2 linked regions of the Ovis aries genome follow. Each later gene encodes a partner of the first gene's protein in a complex. Links are inferred from orthologs where the notes say so. Each region holds a gene or a part of one and is shown on either strand. Other genes may lie near its edges.

The links. Proteins that work in one complex are often made in the same cells at the same time.
Region 2: the proteins of ANKS6 (region 1) and ANKS3 are in contact, whole or in part, in a crystal structure (PDB 4NL9), measured with the Homo sapiens proteins. The link is inferred for Ovis aries from reciprocal best matches to the Homo sapiens genes ANKS6 and ANKS3. Residues at the interface, in NP_775822.3 of Homo sapiens: Glu796, Gln797, Glu798, Val799, Asp800, Glu802, Ala803, Thr806, Leu807, Asp811, Glu814, Leu815; in NP_597707.1 of Homo sapiens: Lys441, Tyr442, Thr470, Leu471, Phe472, Gly473, Pro474, Arg476, Lys477, Arg484.

What each region holds. Positions count from the first base shown.
Region 1 is NC_056055.1:49,050,295-49,054,247, reverse strand, and holds part of ANKS6 (ankyrin repeat and SAM domain-containing protein 6), read right to left. Parts: intron 1,993-3,953; coding exon 1,948-1,992; intron 1,263-1,947; coding exon 1,058-1,262; intron 297-1,057; coding exon 190-296; intron 1-189.
Region 2 is NC_056077.1:4,380,460-4,385,058, forward strand, and holds the start of ANKS3 (ankyrin repeat and SAM domain-containing protein 3), read right to left. Parts: upstream 3,194-4,599; 5' UTR 2,905-3,193; intron 2,285-2,904; 5' UTR 2,132-2,284; exon of another isoform or gene 1,973-2,131; 5' UTR 1,841-1,972; coding exon 1,671-1,840; intron 782-1,670; coding exon 583-781; intron 429-582; coding exon 307-428; intron 1-306. UniProt on the Homo sapiens protein: May be involved in vasopressin signaling in the kidney.

The DNA of each region.
Region 1 (3,953 bases):
GCTGCGCCCATTCTCCCCAATGGCCTTCACCTGGGAGAAGTGAAGACTTGCCTGAGGGTGTGTGGGAAGCTCTGGGGGCTTGAGAGTGGCTTCCGCCTTAAATAAACAAGTGCTTACACATAGGGGATGATCTGGATTCCCAGTCAGAAAACCCAGCAAATTTAAAACGCTTTTCCTAAAACAACCCACCAGGATCACTCAGCAGCATCACTAGGTCAAAGGCTGTGTACCCATTTTTCGCACGAAGAGTAACATCAGCTCCTTGGTTTAGCAGATATTTGACAATCTCTTTGTTCCTGTGGAAGAAACAAAAAGCCAGAGTGAGACCAGCTGAAAGGGAAAGTGTGGCCTTGCTCCTGGGCAACAAGAGCGGTGCCTTAACTCCAGCAGCATCTGTGCACGTGAAAGAGGGCTCGGAAAGCTGTCCCCCAGCCCTTGTTCCCTGCCCTGCGGGCAGTCACGACAGAAATCAAAGCCTGAGTGCTCCTTCCACGAATAAAATGAAAACACAAGGCTCTGCCCCAAAACCACTGGCTCCCAGGACCACACACAGACCCCACCCCTTCTGCCCCTCACTGGGACCTGACTAAAGTCCTCCGGCAGGCCAGAGTCTTTGATGTGGAAGTCAGAGGATCAAATGAGGAAGAAAGCCACTTTCAGAGGACACAGGAGAGTGCTCTCATCACCTGAAGCGGGGCAAGGACGGAGCCCCTAATTTGGAATCAGATCACCACCGAGCAGGTGCAAGGCTATATGCAGATCCCTGCCCCTTGGTCAGCCTGCCCCAAGGAGGAGGCGTCCAGGAAGGGAGAGGGGTGACTGGACGAGAAGGGATGCGGAAGCACCAGGTAACACTGCCGAGGCAATAGGAAATCTGGACACAAAGGGTAGGAACACAGGACAGACCAAGCCTGCATCGTTTTGAGTGTCTCAGCATCTTCACAATGTGTGGGGCGCTTATTTGTAGCGTCTCAGGACCAGCAACCCATTAGGCACCCTATTTCAGCCCGGGGCATCCTCTTAGGCTCCCTGCTGAGGGGGTGGGGCTGGTGCTGACCCGTGGTAGGTAGCCTGCATGAGGGCTGTCCAGCCGTGGGCACTGTCCTGCTTGTCCACGTCGGCATGCCTCTCCACCAGCAGCTGCACCAGAGGCAGCTGTCCCATGACAGCTGCCAGCATCAGTGGGGTGGCCCCATCCCCGTTAACCAGGTTCACGTGGTTGGGGTCTTCATCAGCAATCTCTTTGACCAGCTGGAAGTTTCCTGCCAAAGAAGCAGAAGTCCTGGTGATCCACGGGCCTGGCACTGCAGGATGATTTACCCAGTGGCTTCCCAGAACAAATGTGCTGAGCTGGCCTCTGTACTGGGTGGCTGCGCCTCGCAGGGGCTACAAAGATGAGTCAGAGGTAGCCCCCGTTCTCCAATCCTTCAGTCTATGAGGGATGGAGGCAAGCACGCAAATAGCTTTACTGAAAAAGAGACGTGTTATTGCTGTCTTAAAAGAAGAGTGATGATGAGGGGCAATGCACATGCAGAAAGAGAGCCCAGGTCTCCCTAAGAGGTGAGGATCAGGGTGGGCTTCCTGGAGGTGGAGGTCTGTTTCAGGAGAGGCAATACTAGACTAAATAGCTCTTCATTACACAGAGAGTGGAGTAGGGAGGTGGGCAGCCAGGCATTTCAGAGGTAAGTAAAAGCTAGGACATAGCCACAGGGTCTAGCAGGAGAGGCAGAGGGGGCCTGAGAAAATAATCTGGAAGTTGTATGCAAAGCACCATAACTACCAGCCTCCAGGGTCTGAACCTCCCTGGGTGAAACCAGAGTCAGGAAACAACAAAACACCTGTTTCTTTCCCAAATACTCTGGGTGGCCTTGAAAAGGACTATCAATATTAGTTTGGGAGAAACAGTACTATATTCTTAAATATCCAAAGATTTTCTAAAGTGCTTACCCATTTTTAATGCATGGAAAATATCAGGTCGCCTTTTCTCCTCATCTGGGTAAACAAAGATTTTTAAAAGTTAACCACGGAAAAGTGCAAAATAACAGAAAAGTTACAAGGGTGTAACGACCCAGCCTACTTTTAAAAATGATTTACTTTTCACAAGCAATCTAATCAGAGACCTAGGTAATGGACTAACTCCAGCAGCCCTTCTGGAAGGGTTATCATCAGACTGTCTGAAAACGCTTCAGAGACAGACTGTGGGAGGTCATCTGGCCAGGAAAACATGAATGAGCAGACCATTTCCGGATCCCGCAACTCATAAAGCAGTCTTTTTTAGGCATTCCAAATTTTGGGATGTCCTTTCTCAGATATAATGGAAAAGTATAGTCTTGGAAAAATCTGTATTCCTATGAAGATTTTAAGAAGAAACAATGATTCTTTTATTCTAAAAAGTAAATGTACAACCATGAAGTAATTCCAGAGCAGGTTTTCATTCTAATACCTAAGACACTGGGCAGCTAAACCCAGAGGAGGTCATGGTTGCCAATGCTAATATTTGCTTTCTTTCCCAAATAAGCAGCCATCTGAGTGATTCTGAAGGCCACCCATGACCCAGACCTGCAGATGCTTCCTTCTGATGTCTTCATGCTGGGCCTCGCTGCACCCACCCAATGCCAGCCCCTTACTTATCTGTTCTGCATCACCCTCCTTGAAGCTAGAGCTAGTGGGTAACCTGCTCCCTCCTGTTCAGAAAGTAGCCACCCTCACGACTAGTCTTTTCGCTTGTTAAGAGTGAATGCAGGACTTCCTTTGACTAATACCAGACAATAGAGCAGCTGCAGGAGAAAACCTGGGACTCTGGACCACATCCCTGGTCTCGATCAGCCTCCGCCAGCAGCTGGAAGAAGGTGCAGAGTGGCACAAGGAGTCTGGAGCCAGGATATCCGGATCCACCTATTTCCAGAGATGTGTCTCCTCATCACTGATAATGCAGACAACATGCTAACATGGAGAGCAGGTGGTGGTTGCAGGGGTGGATAATATAGATGGGAAAACGCTCCAGAAATTTTTAAGCTCTATACAAACAGCTTCCCTCATAGCTCAGTTGGTAAATCATCTGCCTGCAATGCAGGAGACCCAGGTTTGATGCCTGGGTCGGGAAGATCCCCTGGAGAAGGAAATGGCAACCCACTCCAATATTCTTGCCTGGAGAATCCCATGGACAGAGGAGCCTGACAGGCTACAGTCCACGGGACTACAAGAGTCAGACATGACTTAGCGACTAAATCACCACCACCACACAAGCAACAATTTTTGTTATCTTTCCTAGTGACCAGCACCCACCCCAGAAAGGGTACTAGTTAACTCCAGGGCACTTATAGGAAACTATAGACAGGGCCATGGAACCAAGTGCCTAATTCTGCCTTTGAGATACTATAAAAAAATTATTATGAAACTTCATTTTAAAAAATATGTCTCATTCCTTTTAAGTGTTTAAGAGCCTAATTTGCTATAGCCCACAGCCTCCTTCATGCCAAGACTCTTCGACAGAAAAGAATGTGTCAACTGGGCCTAGTGTTTGTTGCTAGGCAACCATCTGGTACAAACGAATCACTGACAGTCTAGCCTGACCTCAGGAGGCTGGAGCAGCTATGCTCGATGCCCACTGACCCTGGGCTGGTCCCTTCCTCACTCTGGGCTCCAATTATTGCATCAATATCAGAGCAACTCCAGGGACCCCTCCACAGCCCAGGGAATGACCACAGTGGGGGTGAGGAGGGTGTCACAGTGACGATTACAGCCTCAAGGGTACCCTGTCTTGCAGCTAATGTGAGGGAGAGAGCTGGGAGTCTCCAAGGCCCTGATGAGGGCAGGGGGTGGGTTTCCTAGCACCTCACAAAAAGAGCTGGGGCCAAATACTATTTGTTTAATAATCTGGCACTATTAGTAACATGGCTCTTCTGAAGGCTCTTCTCTGAGAGCCTGAAAATGGAGCACTCTCTCAGCTCCTG
Region 2 (4,599 bases), on another chromosome or scaffold:
TGACAGGACATGTGATTCTAATAACGCCATGACATAAGCACCACCATCCTCTTTTCAGATAAAGAAAGCAAGGCCTACAGAGCTTAAGGTGCCGCACCGAGTGTCACCTGACAGGTGAGTGAGAAAGCCAGGACGCTCCCTGTGCCTCTGTGCTGGGCGGCACTGTCCCCTCCACCCCAGGTCTTGAGACTGCCACACCGAGGCAGGGGCTCCCACACTTTGGCCTCTAGCTGCCTCGACAGCTGCCCTCCTCCGAGTCAGATGTGACCAACCAACTCCCACGGCTGCGGACGACCTGGTAATGACCTCACGTTGGCGTTCGCTCCACTGTCCAAAAGGAACTTGACCATCTGCTGGTGCCCAGCACTGGTGCAGTGGAAAAGGGCAGTCCAGCCCTGAATGTCCTTCATTTCCAGCTCAGCACCTTGCTTCAAGAGAACAGAGAATGCCTGTTAAGGCCACGTCTCCTCTGCACAGGGCGGGCACCCTCCAGGCCATTACACTGAAAGAATCGAAGTGATTACCCAAGCATGCTGCAGTGCTTCCCTATCTGCCGAGTGGCCTGAGACCCTTGCAGCTCACCTGGAGAAGAAAATAGGCGATGCTCTCGTTGCCACAGCTGGAGGCCAGCATCAGTGGAGTCTGCCCTTCCGGGGTCGGCACATTCACACTGACCCCCGCCTCAAGCAGGAGGTGCACGATGGTATCATGTCCAATGTAGGAGGCATACATCAGCGGGGTCCAGCCACCACCGTTCTTCTTATTCAAATCTAACTCTCTCCTAAACAAATGCAAGACATGCTAGACACGCCAGCCATCGTACATGTGGGACTTACCAAACCCAGTGGCCAGGCCAAGAGAAAGAGTGGGGAGTGCTGACAGGAAGCAGAGTCAACCGCCACCCTGGACATCACAGGGTTCAGGGGTGACTCCACTTTCTGGACCACTGCCTCTGCAAACTACCTTGAGTTTGCCTCTGTGCTCCAATTTCTTGTTCTCATCTGTGCCCTCTTCCTACCCCAAAGTCAGCTCTTCCTTCCTCCCACCAGCCACAGAGACAGTTCTCAACCAGGGGAGGTTCTGCCCCCAAAGGATGGTTGGCAAAGCCTGAAGACATTTTTTGACTGTCATAACTGCGAAGGGAAAGGCTACATCCAGGGGGCGCAGGGAGGCCGGGCATGCTGCTCTGCATCTGCTGCTAAGGCGCTTCAGTCGTGTCCGACTCTGTGCGAGCCCATAGACAGCAGCCCACCAGGCTCCCCCGTCCCTGGGATTCTCCAGGCAAGAACACTGGAGTGGGTTGCCATTTCCTTCTCCAATGCATGAAAGTGAAAAGTGAAAGTGAAGTCACTCAGTCGTGCCCTACTCTTAGCAACCCCATGGACTGCAGCCTACCAGCCTCCTCCGTTAATGGGATTTTCCAGTCAAGAGTACTGGAGCGGGGTGCCATTGCCTTCTCTGAGAGATCTTCCCCGACCCAGGGAGTGAACCTGGGTCTCCTGCATTGTAGGCAGACGCTTTACCGTCTGAGCCACCAGGGAAGTCCACAATCTACCCATGGGTTAAACGTCTACAGCTGTGGGCCAGGCCTCGCTAGCCTCCTGATGGCTCCACCTGGGCGGTGGCGCTCAACCATCCGAGAGGAAGGAATGCCTCCCAGGACCTCTTACCGCTGCACACACTCCTTCACCACCTCGTACTGGCCAATGGAAGCGGCTGTGTGCAGATCCAGGGGGACAGCCAGCTCCTCCCGGTCGACCTGCGTGCCCAGCCCGTGCCACATGGACAAGCTGCGGTTCAGCAGCTCTGGCTCGCTGGCTTCATCGCTGAGCTCCGACATCGCGGTGGAGGGGGATGCTGGGGTCACTTGGGTCTTTCCTTCCTGGTAGTTCCAGGGGATGAAATGCGATGGTCACGCTCCTGCCGCAGCAGACTGCTGCCCACAGCAGCTGAACAATCCTGGCTGCCGAACCTGAACAAGAATCCAAATCAGCTGCAGTCAGTTCTGCACTCCTTTCAGAACACCCCTTCAGCCTTCTTTGGGGGTGTCTCTTCTACTCCAAATGCCTCCTCCAGGGTAGGACCCATATTCTCTTTTATTGGAGGCTCGCTCAGTTGGTAAAGAATCCACCTGCCATGTAGGAGACCCCGGTTTGATTCCTGGGTCAGGAAGATGCGCTGGAGACCCGACAGGCTACCCACTCCAGTATTCTTAGGCTTCCCTTGTGGGTCAGCTGGTAAAGAATCCGCCCGCAGTGCAGGAGACCTGCGTTCAGAAAATCCCCTGGAGAAGGAAAAGGCTACTTACTCCAGTATTCTGGCCTAGAGAATTCCATGGACAGTCCATGAGGTCTGTCAGACCCCATGAGTCAGACACGATTGAGCGACTTTCAACTGTATGAAACCAGGCACAACGCTGAGAGCCTATCAGAATCATGGAAGGAGAACGTGGATACCCAGGGACCAAGCTGCTTTATCACCCTGCTCCATGCCAGACGCTCTAAAACCACGGGCTATTCCTTAGGAACAGAGTCATCTACAGGTATATATCACGTATACTTGTCGAAAATCTTTTGCTTATCGCTTCTAGAATTTATCTCCAGGAAGCAGCACTGAGAATGAGATCTTTTAATTTTCCTTCCACCTTCGCGTTCTGTCCATTCGGTAAAATGCTAAGTATCTGTTACTTTTAAAGCACACCAAAGTAAATAACAACAACAAATGACGTTGGTGGTGACCGTCACGCCCACAGGGAGGAGGTCTGTAAAAGCCCGAGGGCACCGCGTCCTGCCCCGGGGCGTGGGCCTTCCGCTGCCTCCAGGCATCCCCACCTCGTTCTCGGGCCCCGGGGAGGGTAACCTAGGGAACTACCCAAGCGCCGACGCCTCCTCCCAGTAACCTTACCCCGCACGTGGCTTTCCGTCCCGGCTCCTCAGCTGCGAAGATCCTCGGAGCTGTAAACTCCCGCGGCGAACCAGCTGCAGGGCTGGGACGCCCCGCGAACGGGCAGCAGGTGCGAGCACCAGGCAGGGGCCGGGCCGCCGCGGAGCCTCCCCGCGCTGGGCCTCGGCCCCGGGCAGCCCTGGGGCCGCCGCTGGCCGCCGCGCTCCCTCGGCCGCGCCCACTCGGGCTCCCTCCGCGCCGGTCACCGCCACAGCGCGCGGACCCAGCGGCCCGCTCCCGCCCCGGAAGTGGTTGCGGGCGGCGCGGAGCACGACGGGACGCTCGCGGGTCCCCCTCGGCCTCTCCCGGCGCTGTAGATTTTTCGTCCGTCCCGCACCCGGACCTTCCGGTCAGCTCGCCCGGCTCTCTGTGTGACGCCCACAGCAGCCAATGAGCAGGGGGAGTCCTCCTTGCCCCGCCCCTCCGCTGGCCAGGGGAACCAATCGTGTTTCAGGAGCGGCAGGACGCGCCAAGTCCCGAAAGACGAGCGGGGGGGGTGGGTGGGAAGGATGTGGCTGTTCAGTGATGTAAGACTGATGAACCGGGATTCCGAAGGCGGCGACGGCCTTAGTAATCGCGCCGCTGCCCAAGCGGGAGAACACGACCGAAGAGGCGCGGCGGGCCCTTTTCGTCCCTGTCGAGGCCGGGAAGAGAGGCGGAGGCCGAGGCCGCAGCTGCGAGATAATTGTTGGGAGGTGGACAGGGTGGGGGCTGGGAAAGCAAGCTGGGGAATAGGTGGGAGGACGCGCGATGGTTTCCGGTTTCCGAACTTTGGAATTTAAAAGCCCCACCCGAGTGGCCGGTGGCGTCCAGTTGTCATAACAACCCGCGGTCCGGCGGTGGGCGGTGCCGGAGACGGGGCGGTAGGCGGTGCCGGAGACTGGGCGGTGCGCGGGGGCGTGGGGGGCGGGGCTGGGCGGGGGCGGGGCTAACGGGCCGCAGCCAAGAAACGGACGTGGAGGCACGGTCGGGATTATGCCAGACTGGGGCTGCTGCTTTGTGTGGCTTTCGGCAGCCCGTTCGGTGAGCGACGCTCCTCAACCTGGCGTTCAGGACCCTTCACGGTCTGGTCCGTTTGCACCGCAAACTCCAGCAAGTGAAAATTTCTTCCCCCAACACGTTAGGTACTTTTCACTCCTCTGAGCTCTTAGGTGCTCTTGCCGCAACCTGTAATGCCTTTTCTTTCTCTGTTACTTTGTCCTCCTGGAGAACTTAAGAGTCTCCGGTTGTCCCCTTCAACCAGGTGATTCTGTTGCCCTCTGATCTGCCCTGCAGCCGGAGAACATCCTGTGATGTATATACCAGACCTGCCCTGCTGTTCCCAGATCAGGGTACACCAAGCTCCTGTCCCACTCCTGTGAGCACAGAAAAAGCAAAAAGTCCCCATTCACCTCGCCTGCTGCTTCCCTTGTTGGGGGCCAGGGCTGGGGCAGGAGTGTTCTCTTCCCATTTTATAGTGACAGAGGCCTCTCAGGCTGCAAGTACTCTCAAGACGCCGGCTCTGAAGTGCCATCACCCCACAATTCTAAGCCTCCTTGACCCCTGAAGGGGGTCTGTTAAGACTCTGGGATACAAAAGGGGTGTGTTGGCCTGACAATTTGAGTGTCAACTCCAAAAAAAGTGTTCTGGGGACTCCAAAATGTCTATTCTGTTCCT